Daphnia pulex: one gene and its partner. Each later gene encodes a partner of the first gene's protein in a complex. Links are inferred from orthologs where the notes say so. Each region holds a gene or a part of one and is shown in the gene's direction. Other genes may lie near its edges.

Region 1 (7,921 bases):
AGTTTTGTGCGGTCGTCGGTCAAGAGGTCACCGAGTCCATCCTGGTGAGTTTTTTCATTTTTCTTTTATTTTTAATTCTATTCAACCGGAAACGAGATGATGATAATTATTTAAAATGTCCTTTTCTCTCTGTTTATAACAGTTGGACAAGTTTTATGCACTGTGCCAAGATGAGCTGTGGGGTGTTCGCAAAGCCTGCGCCGAAGTCTTCATGAGCCTATCGCGCGTCGTCTCGGCCAGCAAGAGACGCAACGACCTGGGCAGTCTCTTTGTCAACCTCCTTCAAGACGAGTCGCGTTGGGTTCGAATGGCCGCCTTCCAGGCCCTGGGTCCTTTTATTTCCACCTTTTCACGGATGGAAACGGAACGCGAATCGACTTCGACTTCACTGTCGTCGTCGGCCACGGCCGAAACAGCCGAAGCCGAGCCGGTCGAATCGGATTTTAATTCTTTTTATTTCTGGAGAGACCCTCTACCGCAATTGAATTTGATGCCTCCAACCACCAACAACCAAGGCGATCCGTCGCAGCCTCTTGTCTCATCCGAGGCAGCAAACAACGAAGAGTCGGTCTCGGATAGCGTCGAAAAGGCACTAGAGGATTTGATGGCTCGTGTCGAGTTGGGCGGTGGAACAACAGCAACAACTATTGAAGCCGCTGCCGCTGCAACAACTCAACCAGCATCCGGTGAACTGGTTCCCGAGCCAGTTCACGCCTTTGACTTGAGGAGAGTAGCCTGTCAGGAATTATTAGGAGCTCCGGTGGCTGCCAGCAGTGGTAACATCGTTAGCTCACCACCCAATACCGCCGCCGATGAGGGAACCAACGATTTGTCGGCCGAGTCTAAACCGACGGCCGCCGACGGTTCGGTCCAGCCGACGTTACTCTCGTCTAGTGTCACTACCTCTTTGGCGACCGTCATGTCGTCGGCTTCGTCTCTGTTTCAACCCAATCTTCTTTTACCACCCGCCTACGTCAAGAGTAACGCCACCACGACGACCAGTGCCAACAGCAGCAGCAACGACTTGTCCACCACCACCGTCTATTCAAATTCATTTTGCCCCTATTATTCACCGCGACGGCGTTCAGACGGAGGCAGCATGAGCGGCGGTGGCATCATCGAGGCCGGCCGCTCACGACCCTACAGTCCCTACGGCTCGTCTTCCAAGCGCTCGTCCATCACCCTCAGTCAATCGGTTGTACCGCAAAATCTGATGGACTATTACCTGCAGATGACGGACCCTTATTACGTGGAGACGGTCGACGCCGAGATCACTCGCCATTGCGCCTACAGCTTGCCGGCCGTCGTCTGCACGCTGGGCAAGGAGCACTGGCCGCTGCTGCGCGATCTCTACACGACGCTGGCCTCGGACATGCAGTGGAAGGTGCGCAGGACTCTGGCGTCGAGCATCCACGAGATTGGCGCCATTTTAGGCCAAGAGGTGGTGACGCAGGACTTGTTGCCCGTCTTTGATGGTTTCATCAAAGACCTGGACGAGGTGCGCGTCGGCGTTTTGAAGCACTTGAGCGATTTCCTTGGCTTGCTGGCCGAGAAGGAGCGCCGGAGTTATCTGCCTCGCTTGGCCGAGTTCCTCAAGCTGGATAACGAACAGAATTGGCGCTTCCGTCAAGAGTTGGCCCTGCAACTGCAGTCGGTAGTGGCTCTCTTTTCGCCCGCCGACAGCGCTCAATCCATCTTGCCACTAGCCTTGACTCTGGCGTCGGATCGCGTAGCCGCCGTCCGTCTCCCTGCCTTCACACTCGTAAGTATTTTGCTTCCATCCATCCGGCCATAGCAGCAACACGATAGACACACATTTTTTTAAACTTTGTTCTTCCTTTCAGGTTAGTCAAATAATGAAGCAGGTGTCGGAAAACAGCTGGGCCGACGATGCCGAATCGATGCTCACTCCTCTTCTTGCCGACCTAACGACCCGTTTCTGCTCCGGCAATCGCTGGATGCTCCGACAGAGCTACGTCAACATCTGCAACCAGCTGGTGACGGACCGCGCTTTGCCGCTGGAAGAGTTTGGTAAACTTCTTCTGGCACCTTTGCTGGCGCTCAAACAAGACCGCGTGCCCAACGTCCGGCTCGTCTTGGCCAGAGTCATCAATTTCCAGCTCAAATATCACGGTTAGTATTATTTGTCTTTCAATTGTTTTTTTTTTTTGTTTTCAACACTTGGTGTGTGGTACTACAATGTGTTTGTCTTGAATTACCAACAGAGTTTTTCGCTGGATCAGACAGTCCGTACCGGGAATCGCTGGACGAGACGCTCAATCAACTGTCGGCCGATGAGGATCGTGACGTTTCGTACTACGCCACAGTCAAACGGAATCAGACGCAAATCAATTCATTGGATCTTCCGACGGAGGACAACAACATTGCGTGATAGCCCCAATTCAAAGAATACAAACACAAAAAAACTGTACACATTCACACACATTTGATTCTTTTTGCATGATGCCAACACAACGAAAAACAAAACTTGTCGACTCCTCCCTTCCATCCTTTTTTCCTCCTCACCTCTTCTCTTATCATCTTTGATCTCTTTCGTTTTTTAAATAATCAGCCCCCCCACTAACACAAGGGAGTTCCCCCCTATAAAAAGTCTTGGCGCGGATGAGTGTTGCTGTGTGGTGCCTTGTACAAACAAGACGATTACCTGTGTGTTGTGTAAGTAAATCACGCAATTGGTGCGGGAGACGAACGCCCCGATTTAAAAACAAATGAAATTCAAACAAAAATCAATTCATTCATGTTTCCCTCCTTTTTTTAAAAAATAAAAAAGTTTTTCCTTTTTTCTTTTGCAAGTAAAAAATCGTGTAGAGAGATGGGGGGAGGAGGGATTGTTGTACAAGTTGTTGTCCGCTATGCCCTTACTGTGATGTGGTGGTGACCGCCACCTAACCTGATTGGTAGACGGAAAAAAAAATACATCAAAATAATTTTTGCCTACGTGCAACCGCGTTCTTGTCGTTCTTCTTCTTCTTCTGGCCCCAATATCATTTGGCTCCCGAAATAATGGAAAAAATGTGCTCGCTTGGTTTAATGAAGCCATCGATAAAACAAAAGTGCAAACATCTTAATGAGGTACACACGCGAGTCGAAAAAGATTAAAAAACAAGGAGTGGCCCCCGTCTTGTGTGGGTGGGGGAGCTCGTTGTTTACTCGTGTAACAAGAGAAACGGTTCTATATTTATCAAATAAAAAAAGCTGCAACCATTTTCTTTTTTACCATTGCTCTCTCCCCTCGCCCCTTTTTTTTTAAAGAAACAGAGCCAACAGCTTTGAAAATAGATTTTCCTTAGCTGATCGTCAAGACGCGCACTGATGACGACAGACTTTAAGGGAAAAAAAAAGTTATTTTTTTTTTTTAAGGAAAAGTAAAAAAACATGAGACAAATTTTGTGGTTTTTTCTCCATTTATTTATTTTTTAAACGGAAAGACGATTCCATAGCTTCTTCCGGTTGTACTTGAATTGAAAAAGAACTTTTCCATGGGGTTTCTCACGGTTTTACGCCCATTAAGCAAGTCAGAAAAAAAGAAAAACCTCCGACACCATCACGGAATGAATAGCTAATAGAATTCATTCAATCACACCAAATTGTGTGAAAAATGAACTCGCGAGTTTATGTAAATTAAATATCAAAGTGAATAGAGATAATAGCGGGAATAGTTCCGGAGAAGAAGAAACGAATCGAGAGTGGGTGTCTGCGTACCAATCACGTCAAGGGAGCGACGATTGGCCGAAATATCTTTTCGAGACGATATTTCTATTCGAGCAGAGTTGACTCTGCTGCTGCTGCTGCTGGCGCGGTGGAGGAAACCCAAGGGAAGGGCTCCAGGTTTATTTCTGTCTTCCGACGACGCAATCACTTGGCTCGGCTAACAGACAGCACAAGCACAAGCTGCTTCTGTTTGTTGGACAAGTCGAAGCTCGAAAATATGGCGGCTCCTAGTTTTCGACAAGAGATTACCTGTCTCGGAATCCTTGGCGCAATAACTCGCAAATACATCATTTCTCTCAAGTAATTACGAGCCAGGTGAACGGCTGAACGCGTGACTCAGCTCGCCGTCACACGTAGACCCTTTTTTACGATGAGGTTTTTCGGGGGAAATAACTTTAACCAAAACCGTCAAGCAATTTGTGGCATAGAGTCGACCATTTTGGGCGTCTTCCCAAAAGAAAAAAGAAAATGTTGACTGTGGATGATGTGGCAACGCGGTGCAGAGCGGGAAAACGACTGCTGACATCTCGTTGTGACGATCAAACAACATTGAATTCTAATCTTGTCTTTACAATTTTCTTTTCATTCTAATTTTGACTTGTAATCAACTCTTGACGACTTTTATAATGCCTCACTTGCATTTTAGCTATAGTCCAAACTATTTTTCTATAGAAGACATTGTGCTTCAAGATGTCAGGGTGTCTTGCAAATTCGAAGTGGCTGTTCCCAAGTTAGGTAAACAATAGCTTGTTTATTAGATTTTAAGTTTATTGGTTTTTAAATAGTTAATCATGTAATTAAGCTGATTACAAAGTTATATCTCCTTTTCTTCCAATTCAGGTATGCTTGATCAGTCGGCTGACGATGAAAACCTCAAACAAGGAAGCAAAGTAGAATTGCCGTTCTGGATGGTACCCACCCTTCATGCCAAAAAAATTGTAACACTTGAAATTCCAAGGCACTACAAAGTCAATTACAGGTAGTTAAATATCTTGACAAAGTTTCGTTTTCTGGATTAAATCCAATTTCACTTCCAAATTCTATAGACAGATCCTCCAGGCAGACAGTATAGTTGTTGACCTCCACAAATGGGGACCCTATTTCTATGATCTGGGACTTCATGTGGCAAATCTTGAATTAAAGGATTCTCTTGATATCAAGAGGAGCCTGGTTGAGGTTGATTACCCAAATTCTGTTTGCATATAACTTTCTCTAACTACTACAAATTTTTGTGTGCAGACCCTTCGTAACCGTTTGAGACAAATTATGGACATGTCTCAACATTCCACACACCACGAAACAGTACACATAATTGCAAACTTGGATGAATTAGAAAGAAAGTTGTTTGGAGTGGGTCAGTTGAGTTACAGAAGCTACAAGGTATTCATTAATATAGATTTTGATGCATCATTTCTCTATTGTTTTTGTAATCACTTTTGCTTCAATAGGAATGGGTCCGAAGAGAATCCAGCAAGATCAACACAGCTACTCTAGTAGCCAGTCACAGAAAGAGAAAATTTGCAGAAGTGACTGTTTAAGATTCAATTACCAGTTTGTCAGATGTATTTGGCCCCTATCTAATTAACAATTATATTGAGCAACTATGAAGTTCGACACAGTCAATCAGAAGCAATTAACTCGTTTGTTTTTAATAGAAATGACGCACATTTGAATGGAAAAAAAACCCCTGATGGTAGCAACACGATGGATATGTTGAGTCCCTGTTATAGTAATTGTGCTACTCATCTTTGGAAAATATTTGCCGCGCAATTCTCAAATCGAATAGATTATCTCTTAAAACTTTAACTTAACAAAACAAAACCCTTTTTTTCTCTTTTTTTATCATTTTTCTTTCTTTTTGTAAAATTCGGGAACGGTCAAGTATCTATGTGTACGCATTGTCCATTCCTTCCGTCACCTCTTGTTTGAAAGGCTGGTGGTGGTGATTGGACAATCCTCCCAAGGGAAAGGCGTCATCCTCAGAGTCTGGAGACATGGTCAGCGGTGGTCCACGGTCCATCATCATGGACTGATGCCCACCTAATCCGTTTTGCCCATTCAGGAGAGGAAGAGTTGTAAGAGATGGACCCGTTGAGTGTGTGGGAGACGAATCTGCTGAAAGTGGAGCCATTGCGGTCAGTGCAGATGGGACCACAACGGGCGGATTGTACCCGGACGAAGGGGCAGAATTGTTTGCATTACCAACCGATTCAAGTGAAGCTCCTTCAAATGTTGGTAAGATTGTGTGTTTAATCGATCGTTAACCAATTCAAATAACTGTTTTTTTTTTTCAAATTCTATTAATACCTCCTAGAAGCATTTCCTGTAGCAGAGAATCGATGCGGGTCACTCCAAAGTATCTGGCTTGCTGGATCTGCTCAATCATTTGCCAAGCAACTGACTGGAGTGGCGGCAAGGCCAGCAGCAACTCGCCGAACCGACCTCGACTTGCGTACTGTCGATCGGCCACGTAGTCTTCCAGCAACTGTTGAATCTGGTAGCGAATCCCTTTTACCCTGGCCGGCTCTCCCAGACCTTTTGCATCTGGTGCCATCCCAAAGGCTCACGTCAGACTCAAGATTCAAATAGTAAGTTGGCAATCGACGTTTTTTTATTACTAGGATCGAAGAAGACGATGGCCTTGAGGCAGGTGTACTCCGTATCATCCATTTGAATATCTCGTAGAGGTTTCACAATCTCGTCCATTATTCGAATGCCAATATGGTAAATCTCGATCTCTGCATGTTTGCCAAATAGGAATCATTAACAACATCTTTTGGCAATAAGGCAGCTAGTGTTAACCTCCAAGTCCAGCCGATTGTCTGGGCATGATGGAATCGTTGCCCAGTAGAAGAATGTCTCTTAAATGCATAGATCTTCGAGCAACTCCCAAAACGAGGTTTTCTGCCGCGTGGGCCCTCAATAACGCCACCTTGAAATTCGAATTCGACATCATCAAATTGGCTAAAAACGAAATTTTTTTTAAAATGTGTCTACCTGATCATCCAGTGGCAATTCGCTGAAAACGGGGATGTATTTGGCCCATTCGACCAAGAAGAGCAACTGCTGTTTCATTGATTCGCAAACGTCGTTGATGGTAGCCATCCGTTTGCTGTTCAAATCGTAATCGTTGACGGCTGAGAGCTGATTTAAATACAAATTTTCACACTAGAAAGGAAAGAGTTGATCGGGAGAGGGACAAGGAAAAAAATCGCAGCACATTCGCACAGATTTTTTTTATTTTTCGCAAGAGAGTGAATGATAGTAGTGTGTGTGTGTGTGAGAGAAAAAAGATAGAAACGAGAAGAAAAAAAATTGATCAAACTTGAGCAAACTGTTAGTGAAATTATGAGGCGGTTGTAGGTCAGTTAAAGATGCGATAGAAGGAAATGGGCGACAAACGGACAATTGACAAGCAAGCGATTCCCAACAAAGAGTTGGGAATTTTTATAAGGTTATAATTCAGATTTAAGGGGTTTGACGAATAGAAATCAAGTAACCAAATTTTTACCTGTCGGCTCATGGTTTCGGCATTGATGAGAACACTTATGGTCAACCCATTGGCAGAAACCGGTTCTTCGTAACTCGGTCGACGACTGCTGATTCGATCTCGTTCGTTTTGAACGGCTGTTGTGACACACAAAACGATTGTATATTGAATGTTATTTGACACTTTTTTATTTTTCTAGCCAGTTATACCTTCTTTCTTCATGCCAGCTTTGAAGCATTTGCCAAGCCGGCAATAGCGGCATTGATTCCGTTTATCTTTGTCTACCACGCAATGACGATTGAACCTATTGGATGAAGAAAGTTTTGAAATGCTTTTAAAAATTTGTAATTATTAATGATTAGATACCGGCAAGTGTAGACGTGATTTTTCCTGACTGATCGGCGGAAGAATCCTTTGCATCCGTCACAAGAAGCGGCTCCGTAATGCTTGCCGGTGGCCCTGTCTCCGCAAATGGCGCACCAGGTGGCGACGGCGGCGACAGCGCTGCCGCCGATGCCGCCGGTCACGTTGCCGTTGCTACCGGTCGGTGAACTGGACCCGACGCTGTTGACGCTTGACGCTGGTGCCGGAATCAAGGAGCCGGATGCCGTCACCGACAACTGTAGCGAGCTGGCATCCGTCACTGGAAACATGACACGACCACCATCGATCGGGTTATCATCAAAATCCAACGGATCC
Region 2 (8,895 bases), on another chromosome or scaffold:
ATCGGCGTCGATTTGTCCAGCAGTTTCTTCAACGGCTGCGGCAAAGGCCACCAAACAGGCTAGGGCGATCTGATCATATACAGCAAGTACAATAAAATTAAATTGATGAAATTATTGCAATCACAAATAATGTCTCTATAACATCAATCATAAATGAAAAGAATTATTTGGGATTTTACCACAATTTTCATGACTGTGCTGATTGTTAGAAGTTGAACTTGCTGAGGAGCTGAAGCGATTGGTGCCGATGGAAGGTTTGTCCGTGTCTTTTATACAGATTCATCTTCACGGCTACAGCATGGCGTTCAGTTATATAAGTTAAAATAATACCGCATTACCTTGAAAGCAGACGCTGCTGTTGGATGAAAATTGGCGGAATTCCCCAAGTGCTCGAGGTCTCTCCCTGAGCTAGCCCACAACGCAATACAACTTGACGATGATTATTTGATTTTTGCTGTAGTAATTTTGTACAAAGGGCGTTTGCTTTTTCAGAAGGCTATATTTCAATGGACGCTTTGTTAGATAGCATCATCATAATCTAGCCTACGATATCACTTCAGTCGATCATTTCATTTGATTCTTTTTTTCTGTTGTGACATTTATTTTTTAAAAAGATCAATTTATCAAGGTAGCTACATTTCAAGGTCCAATTCCTGAGGGTGATTTTCTTAATTTTGAGTTTTCTCAATTACGAAGGCATCAGCAAAAGGCTTATAATATGTTCGTCACATCATCAATCCATATCACTTAAAAATGATATCGTAAATAAGGATGGCATGTGAAAAGAAGAAAAATGAATCATCTTCTACATTGAAAATTGCCGAACCGCAATGTCGTTCCGTTCCGGTCGCGGATGCGTTGCCACAACGCAGCCATAAGCAGCGTGCAAGCAGCCCTGTGGATAAAATTGTTCCTCCTTTGTTCGTCATTTTTTTTTCCCCTACTGCTTTATCTGGATGGCTGTGCTTGGTCGGAACGACTTGTATACACCAATGAACCGTTTACTTTCCTCGGGAAAACCCTAACAATAGTCAGCCAGCCCAAGGCAATGCTGATGATCGCCATGGCCAGCAGCGTTTGAAGTGAACGACAAATTGCATGCACAAGTTTCTCACCTTTGTTATTCTTCAAACGTGATGGCGCATTTGACCACAAGTACCAGTAATAACTGCTTTAATCCTGATGTGTATTGCAACGTCATGGTCAAACTCTGCTAAATAAGAACAAGTTTAAATACCATCAATGCCACACAGTTTTCACAAAAGAGAGAGATTGCAAAGCAAAACAGTGCATTAATGGCAATCAGATTCAATTCACTTTTATTTTTAGTTTAGCAAATCGATAAGAGAAGCTTTTACACCGCAAACATCTTATACTGTTTCGTGAATCTTTTTCGGTACTTTTCTCACGGTCCGCCAACTCGTCCGCCAAACGGCGACTTTAACGACCGTCTCCCTTTCGTCACCAGCAGCGCTAGTGCCGCTTAATAATGCAGTCTGATGAGATAATAACTTGAGTTTATGTTTGGTTTATTAAACAATTAATTTGGAAACGAGTAGAAATTCGAGTCAAGTACATCTCATTTAATCTACCTCGTTACTTTCAACAATTTTGTATCCGTCCTTCATGTATAACCTAAATTGCGTTGCACTAGTTAATATTTAAACTGACTCAAATTAGTCCTTCAAAACCACATTAGAGGACAGCTAAAATAATTCCCCCTTTTTGAATACGACTCCGGTTTTTCTGCTCTAAACTGGTTTAAAGAACGTTGGTGGTCTTTACACCACCGAAAACTGGTTTAAACATCCGGGTGTTAATTTTGGATATCAATTTGGTTAGTGACATTCATGAATTTATTCACAATCGTCGGACGGAATAACAAAAATATACTTTTGATTTTAGAAAAAGAGATAAGGCGACCGAAATCAGTCGCCTTGTCGTTGGGTGTTGTGTAAAACGTTACGAAAGAAAACAATAACAAATTTTATTTTTATTTTTATTTATTGAAATTTAAACCTGTAATGCGACAGTACATACAGATGGCGATGAATTTTAGTTTCTGAAATGTGTCTTGATTTAAACTGGCGGTTTGTAAGGCCGGACACAATCTATGGCGAATACCAACGGTAAGAAAGGCGGAATGCCTGGACCTTGAGGATGTTCGATGCCAAATTCCAATTTGCTGCTGCTGGGAGAGATGAATGTCGTGTCAAGGATCGGATCGCCCGGGAAATATTCGGCCATAGAATTGAGCGATGGCAAAGACACGAATGGAACGGAACGAATCCAATTATCCGACTGCAGCTCATCCGAATTATTAAGCGAAAAGATCCAGTTCGCACGCATCGGCTTTCCGTTGACATAATGTTTGAAAACCATTGAACGGCCGTTTAACTTCCGTGTTCCATAGTTGAGCATGAGAGCTCTTCGAGCGTCATCTGGTTGGCGGAAAGTGATCTTGGCTTTTCCGTTTAAGAATCCCTTGTCATCAAGACACATACCAACAGACTGAACCGGACCAACCCACTCTTCAAAGTAGTCCAATATTTGTTTCCCGGTGGTCGAGTATTGCAAGTTCGAAACAAACAAATATTCCTCGCGTACGCTGATGTCAGACTGCGGGGATTCGTGGCATAGTGGGATAGAATCCTGTGTTACTTCCGGTTCTTGTGACTGGTGGAATTGGCCATTATTCTGAAAATCTTGGTAGATGACGTAATCAGTTAAAGGTGTGTACGAACGATTCTCCAGTGAAGTTGGCTTGGAAGTTGGCAACAGGGTTGAATAAACTGGGCCAGGGATTACGATTTGATCCTTATACACACGTTTCTGGTTCACGAAGAGTTTGATATTCATTCGACGACCGCCCAACTTTGTTCCGTCGTAGAAGAGGGCTTTCCGGGCATGATCTGGCTGGTGGAAATATATTGCGGCTTTGCACATATAGTGGCCATCTGCGTTATGGTGCTTTGTAAGACAATCGACCGGTCCGACGTATTTTTCGAAAAAGTTGACAATTTCTTGCTCGGAAGTCTCACGAGCCAAATTGGTGATCCACACCATTTCGACATCTTTCACTGCTTCAATCGATTCCTGAAGAACAATTTCCTTTTGGTTTGTCATTTTCAAATCGTCGTATGTTTGACTTTTTGAGAAAACACTCTAAACTGAGCATGGTCATTGTAAGTCATGGTGTGAACTTATATGGGCACCGGGATCCGGAAAAACATCTGCAACTACCTGGCGAGATTTATTTTCTGATTTATAAATTGAACGCATTAGTTAACGAAAATGATTTCCGTCTATTTACAATTTTGAAGTTATTACCCATATTATTCATTCAAATGAAATACAAATTTTCCCTTAAATAAGAATAATAAACCAAATATAATGATCGAAAATTGATAATCAGTCAGAGGATCAGTAAACAATCCGCCAGGTAATTATTATTAGGTATGTCGGTATCCACTAATTTGGCCTGCAGGCCTGGCAAGAGACAAATATACACAATAAAAAAATTTGGTTAGTTCAATACATTTTTCTGTAAACATTTTATTATTTTTAAAACATTTTTAAAAAGTCGAAAACTCGGAAAATCACATTTGAATTTCAGATTTTCTTTGTTTTTTTTCTTTGTGCCTGACAACGTCGCAATCTTTCTCATTGCCATTTTCGCGCCAGAATTTCGTTGTCTGCTCATTCTGCGTGTTTGTTCTTGCACGAAAAGTGGTGATCAAAGTTTTATCCCTATTTTTCCTTTGATTATCTTAAACTATGGATGTTGCAGGTGCTCAACAAGTACAAAATAAACTCAAGGATGATGTTGCTCAAAGGTGTCAAAAATTGTTCTTGGATTTCCTTGAAGGGTAAGTGTACAAAGCTGTTCATGAATGATTGATACATGCTTAGCTGGGTGATGCAAAAACTTTCTTTCTCTAGTTTTGAAGTTGATGGTGAAGTAAAGTACTTGGAAAAGGCTAAAGAACTTGTAAAACCAGAAAGAAATACACTTCAAGTCAGCTTTCAGGATGTCGAGAAATATAACAGCAATTTGGCTGTCACAATCGTGGCTGAATATTACCGGTATTGTTCCTTACTATGACATTTCTGAACAACTTGAACATTAATTGATGTCTTTTATACATTTAGTGTTTACCCTTTCATTTGCCAAGCTGTTTATTCCTATGTGAGAGATAAGGCTGATTTCAATGTGGAGAAAGAACTGTACATCAGCTTTGTTGATGTCAGCTCAAAATACAAGGTCAGAGACTTGAAGACAGCTAGCATTGGCTCGCTCTTTCAGATATCTGGCCAAGTTATTCGTACCCATCCAGTTCATCCAGAATTGGTCAGCGCTACCTTTGTTTGCCTAGATTGTCAAACAGTCATTAAGGATGTAGAACAACAGTTCAAGGTAAGGTAGAAACACATTTATTTTTATTCAAATTTTTTTTAATGATTTTATTTTGCAGTACACACAACCTTCTATTTGCCGCAACCCTGTCTGCTTCAACAGAAGTCGATTCATGCTAAATGTTAACAAGTCCCGGTTCGTTGATTTTCAAAAAGTTCGAATTCAGGAAACGCAAGCAGAACTCCCTCGAGGATGTATTCCACGCAGGTAACTTCAAAGTGTTGAATTACTCATGACTAGTAAAGTGTACGCCAATCTGTTTAGTGTTGAGGTTATTCTACGAGCTGAAGCAGTGGAAACAGCGCAAGCTGGTGATAAGTGCGATTTCACTGGAACTCTTATCGTTGTCCCTGATGTCGGTTCTATCTCTGTACCTGGTGCTCGAGCGGAAAGTGGATCACGGAAAACTGGTGAAGGTCCGGAAACTGAAGGTGTCCGCGGACTGAAAAATTTGGGTGTCAGGGACCTAAACTACCGACTGGCTTTCTTAGCTTGCAGTGTTACCCAAAGCAACCCCATGGTAAGTCAAGTTTATCGATAAAAATGATATTTAAATGGTAACCCTGTTGGTTTATTATTAGTTTGGTGGTAAAGACTTGCATCAAGAGGAAATGACAGCAGTTGATATCAAAAATCAAATGTCAGAGCAAGATTGGAACCGTATCTACAATATGACACAGGACGTTAATTTGTACGACAATTTGATCAAAAGTCTGTTTGCCACCATTTACGGAAACGACGAAATCAAGCGAGGTATTCTACTAATGCTCTTTGGCGGTGTTCCCAAAAAAACCGTTGAGCATACTACGTTGCGTGGAGACACCAACGTCTGCATAGTTGGCGATCCCAGTACAGCAAAGTCGCAGTTTTTAAAGCAGGTAATTTCGGCAACAGTTTTCTTCCTCCTTACTTTTATTGTTATTATAATTTCTTTTACATCCAGGTCGCCGAATTTACCCCTCGTGCAGTTTACACTTCTGGTAAAGCATCCAGTGCAGCTGGTTTAACAGCTGCTGTGGTACGAGATGAAGAATCGTATGAATTCGTTATCGAAGCGGGAGCACTCATGTTAGCAGATAATGGTGTCTGTTGCATTGACGAGTTTGACAAGATGGATCCTCGCGATCAAGTTGCTATCCACGAAGCCATGGAACAGCAGACCATCTCCATCACCAAGGCCGGAGTCAAAGCAACACTTAACGCTCGAGCTTCAATCTTGGCTGCAGCCAATCCCATTGGAGGACGATACGACCGAACAAAATCCCTGAAACAGAACGTGATGATGACCGCGCCCATTATGTCTCGTTTTGATCTCTTTTTCATCTTAGTTGATGAGTGTAATGAAGTCGTCGACTATTCCATCGCCCGTAGCATCGTCGATCTTCACAGGAGAAACGTTGAATCGATTGAACGAGTGTACCAGACTGAGGATATCCGACGCTACATAACATTCGCCCGTAAATTCCAACCGAAGCTCAGTAAAGAAGCGGCTGACTATCTGGTTAACGCCTACCGCCAACTTCGTCAACGTGATGGTGGTTCAACCTCGTCAGCCTCAAGGATTACTGTTCGCCAATTGGAAAGCTTGATTCGTTTGTCAGAGGCGATGGCTCGCATGTATTGTCTGAGTCTGGTCACAAAAGACCATGTTAAAGAAGCTTATAGGCTCCTGAACAAATCCATCATCCGCGTTGAAGAGCCCGATATTGATTTGGAAGATGCTGAACAGCCAGATCTGTCGGTAGAGGAAGAAGAAACGAATGGCGTTCCTTCCAGTGAAGATGTTGACAAGCAAAAGGGAGCTAGTGGTGAGTCGGTTGATCCCACCGTGCAGAAGAAAAAGATATCCATCACCTTCGAGAGCTACAAAGCTATTTCAAACTTGCTCGTTATGTATTTACGACGCCAAGAGGCCTTGGATGAAAGTAAGCTCGCCATCTAAAACGCTTGTAACAAGATTATTTATTTAATAACAAATTCTTTTCTCGTTACAGCCGAAAGCTCGCGTAAAAGTGCGCTCATCAATTGGTATTTAAACGAAATTGCTGATGAGATTGAAACGGAACAAGAACTAACCGAGAGAAAACTTTTGGTTGAACGTGTCGTCAGTCGCCTTATATATCAGGTAATATTTATATTTTAATAATTACAAATAATTGGAATTAATAATTTCGTTTTTCTTTTCAGGACCAAGTTATCATTCCATTAAGTCGAACTGGATTAGCTGGTAAGGAAGAAGTAGCTGAAGATGAGGATCCTCTCCTTGTTGTGCACCCCAATTTTGTTCTTGAATAAGTACTCGCTCCTTTTCTTACTTTTCTTGCGCATACATGATATTTACTTAATCTCAGTGGTCATCCATCATTTACAAACTTAAAAGAAACAACAGATTTAAAGTTATAAATGGGGGATTTGTCAAAAAAATCTCTCAAATAGTTGTCATAATGCATCAATCATTAGTTGTTGGGTTCTTGCCACCAATTAAGTTATTACGATGTTTCTGACGAAAAATTTTGCTTGCGTTGAATTCTCAGATGCTCGGACTTTCTGTATCTTGACCAAAGCATATTTCGAATTTCATAAACATTGAAAAGTACCTGGGTAGAACAAACTTGGGTTGTATGATGGGAAAGAAGGATAAGGAAAACACTTCTAATATAGAATTTCTAGTATCGAACGTTGTTTAGGTGTGAAACTAGTATTAAAAACTTTTGAAATAAAGTCTGAAGTGGGTTATTTTCACTAATTCAATTTAAACGTAATTTTTCTGGTTAATTGACATCGCATCTGACATTTTTTTTTAATGGGAAGCTCAATTTCCTTAACTCGTCATGTGATAGTCATGTTTTTTGCTTTTTGTTATTCAACTTTTGACGGTAATTAGTATTCCGCTGTAGACGGCCAATCCTATTATCACTTAAATTGCGGGGCCGCTTGTGTTTTATCAATTACTCGAAAGTAGATTTCGACCAATTAATTTTATATCCTTGTTTATTTTTACGATGGTGCGTGTCGAGACTTTAAACTCAACTCTGGAATGTTTAAACATCACATGCTTCGATTTGAATAGCAGAAGCAGATCTTGTGAATCGCCTGCGTTGGTATTCAGGTGGCCTACCATCTGGAGCTTTGACTAATCTTTCACGTCCAGTCCCACTGCTCACAGCTAGAAACATCGAACTCGTAACGACAAAAGGAATTGTCAAAATCGGCAATCCAGCCTAAATATTATGACATTACATTATTATTATTAAGATTTTTATACTTAGGCTTATCATCAGACTCATGTGATTAATTTGCCCTTTGAAATTCCGACAAGACTAACACATAATGACTCAAACTTTGCAGTAGTTTTCCACGTACCGTTGCCAGAACAAGACCGAACGCGCGTTGAGCGGCTGCGGTGAAGACTACGGCCATGGCTGCGTTGAAAGCCGAGAGCATTGTCGGGACGTAAAATGTAACCGCAATAGCTCCTGCAGTCAGTGCAGAATTATAACCCCAGAGACCGGAATAGATTGCCGCGTAGTTTTCAGTAAGTCCAAGAGCTGAGTGATTCCCGAATTAATCAATTAACTAATTTAGGTAGGAGTCTATGCAACTTACCACAAACTGAAGCTAATAGAGAACCGCTGAAGAGAGCAATCGAAAGCATTGGCGAAAAAATTGTTATTCCAATGTACATGATGATTGAACAGACGACACTTTCGGCCGCGTAAACTTGGCCCATTGAAAGTAAGCTACCACGTAATACCTTTTGCATAAAAATTAATTCAGTGGGTTAGCGTGAGCTAAGCTTTATAATCTTAAATTATACTTTGAAATTCTTGTCGCTATCTTACCATTATCCAATCTAGCGAAACTGTCGAGTTTACTGGTAGTGTTTCATTAATAGAAGCAGCCAACTCGAGAGTTGTAGCATTATCTGCAGTAGCAAATGTTGCTAGATGCGTCAGACTCGAAGGCAAACATATAAACATAAGTAGATCAATGAGATTGAAGGGAACCGTCATCGGTGGGAGTGATACGCCTTTGCACAAATTGGCCATTCCAGATGTGACCAACGTACTACAAAACACACGACGCAAATAAAAAATAATTACTCCATTTTCATCATTCCAATAAGGAAGAATTAAACTGACCTCATAACTCCACCGAATCCTATTAAACACCTATGTTTGTTGCAATAACATTGCAATATTTAGCAATCAAGTTCTTCGTTGTTAAGCGAAAGAGATTTTTTAAATTTGATTTGTTTGTTTGTTATTTTTACCAAGAAAGGTAAGTAGGTCCATGAGTTGCTGCAACGATGGGTGGGCAAATGCTGGCCGTCACTGTTCCCACTAAAACACCGTTGTAGGTAACCAATCCATTACTGATTGAACTCCAAGGTTGGTTAAACACCTAAGTAAAAGTGATTCCACATCTTAGTTACTAATTAATTGAAGTTCGTATTTTTTCATGCTCTTATTTGCAAT

Evidence for each region.
Region 2: DNA replication complex GINS protein PSF3-like (region 1) and zygotic DNA replication licensing factor mcm6-B-like share a complex: the UniProt entries of both Homo sapiens proteins name them as parts of the CMG helicase complex. The link is inferred for Daphnia pulex from reciprocal best matches to the Homo sapiens genes GINS3 and MCM6.

What each region holds. Positions count from the first base shown.
Region 1 is NC_060022.1:869,485-877,405, forward strand, and holds DNA replication complex GINS protein PSF3-like, read left to right. Parts: upstream 1-4,335; 5' UTR 4,336-4,358; coding exon 4,359-4,467; intron 4,468-4,572; coding exon 4,573-4,711; intron 4,712-4,778; coding exon 4,779-4,908; intron 4,909-4,971; coding exon 4,972-5,112; intron 5,113-5,180; coding exon 5,181-5,270; 3' UTR 5,271-5,538; downstream 5,539-7,921. Other genes in the region: serine/threonine-protein phosphatase 4 regulatory subunit 1-like, read left to right, coding at 1-44, 143-1,762, 1,845-2,133, 2,226-2,392; hepatocyte nuclear factor 4-gamma-like, read right to left, coding at 5,618-5,955, 6,040-6,276, 6,351-6,470, 6,535-6,664, 6,730-6,900, 7,244-7,359, 7,432-7,526, 7,589-7,921. UniProt on the Homo sapiens protein: Required for correct functioning of the GINS complex, a complex that plays an essential role in the initiation of DNA replication, and progression of DNA replication forks.
Region 2 is NC_060017.1:7,924,486-7,933,380, forward strand, and holds zygotic DNA replication licensing factor mcm6-B-like, read left to right. Parts: upstream 1-3,673; 5' UTR 3,674-3,777; coding exon 3,778-3,869; intron 3,870-3,942; coding exon 3,943-4,086; intron 4,087-4,152; coding exon 4,153-4,417; intron 4,418-4,475; coding exon 4,476-4,624; intron 4,625-4,681; coding exon 4,682-4,937; intron 4,938-4,998; coding exon 4,999-5,295; intron 5,296-5,360; coding exon 5,361-6,342; intron 6,343-6,411; coding exon 6,412-6,542; intron 6,543-6,604; coding exon 6,605-6,712; 3' UTR 6,713-6,762; downstream 6,763-8,895. Other genes in the region: glycine-rich cell wall structural protein 1.8-like, read right to left, coding at 1-69, 180-191; urea transporter 2-like, read right to left, coding at 7,459-7,638, 7,781-7,965, 8,024-8,171, 8,260-8,485, 8,560-8,589, 8,691-8,821. UniProt on the Homo sapiens protein: Acts as a component of the MCM2-7 complex (MCM complex) which is the replicative helicase essential for 'once per cell cycle' DNA replication initiation and elongation in eukaryotic cells.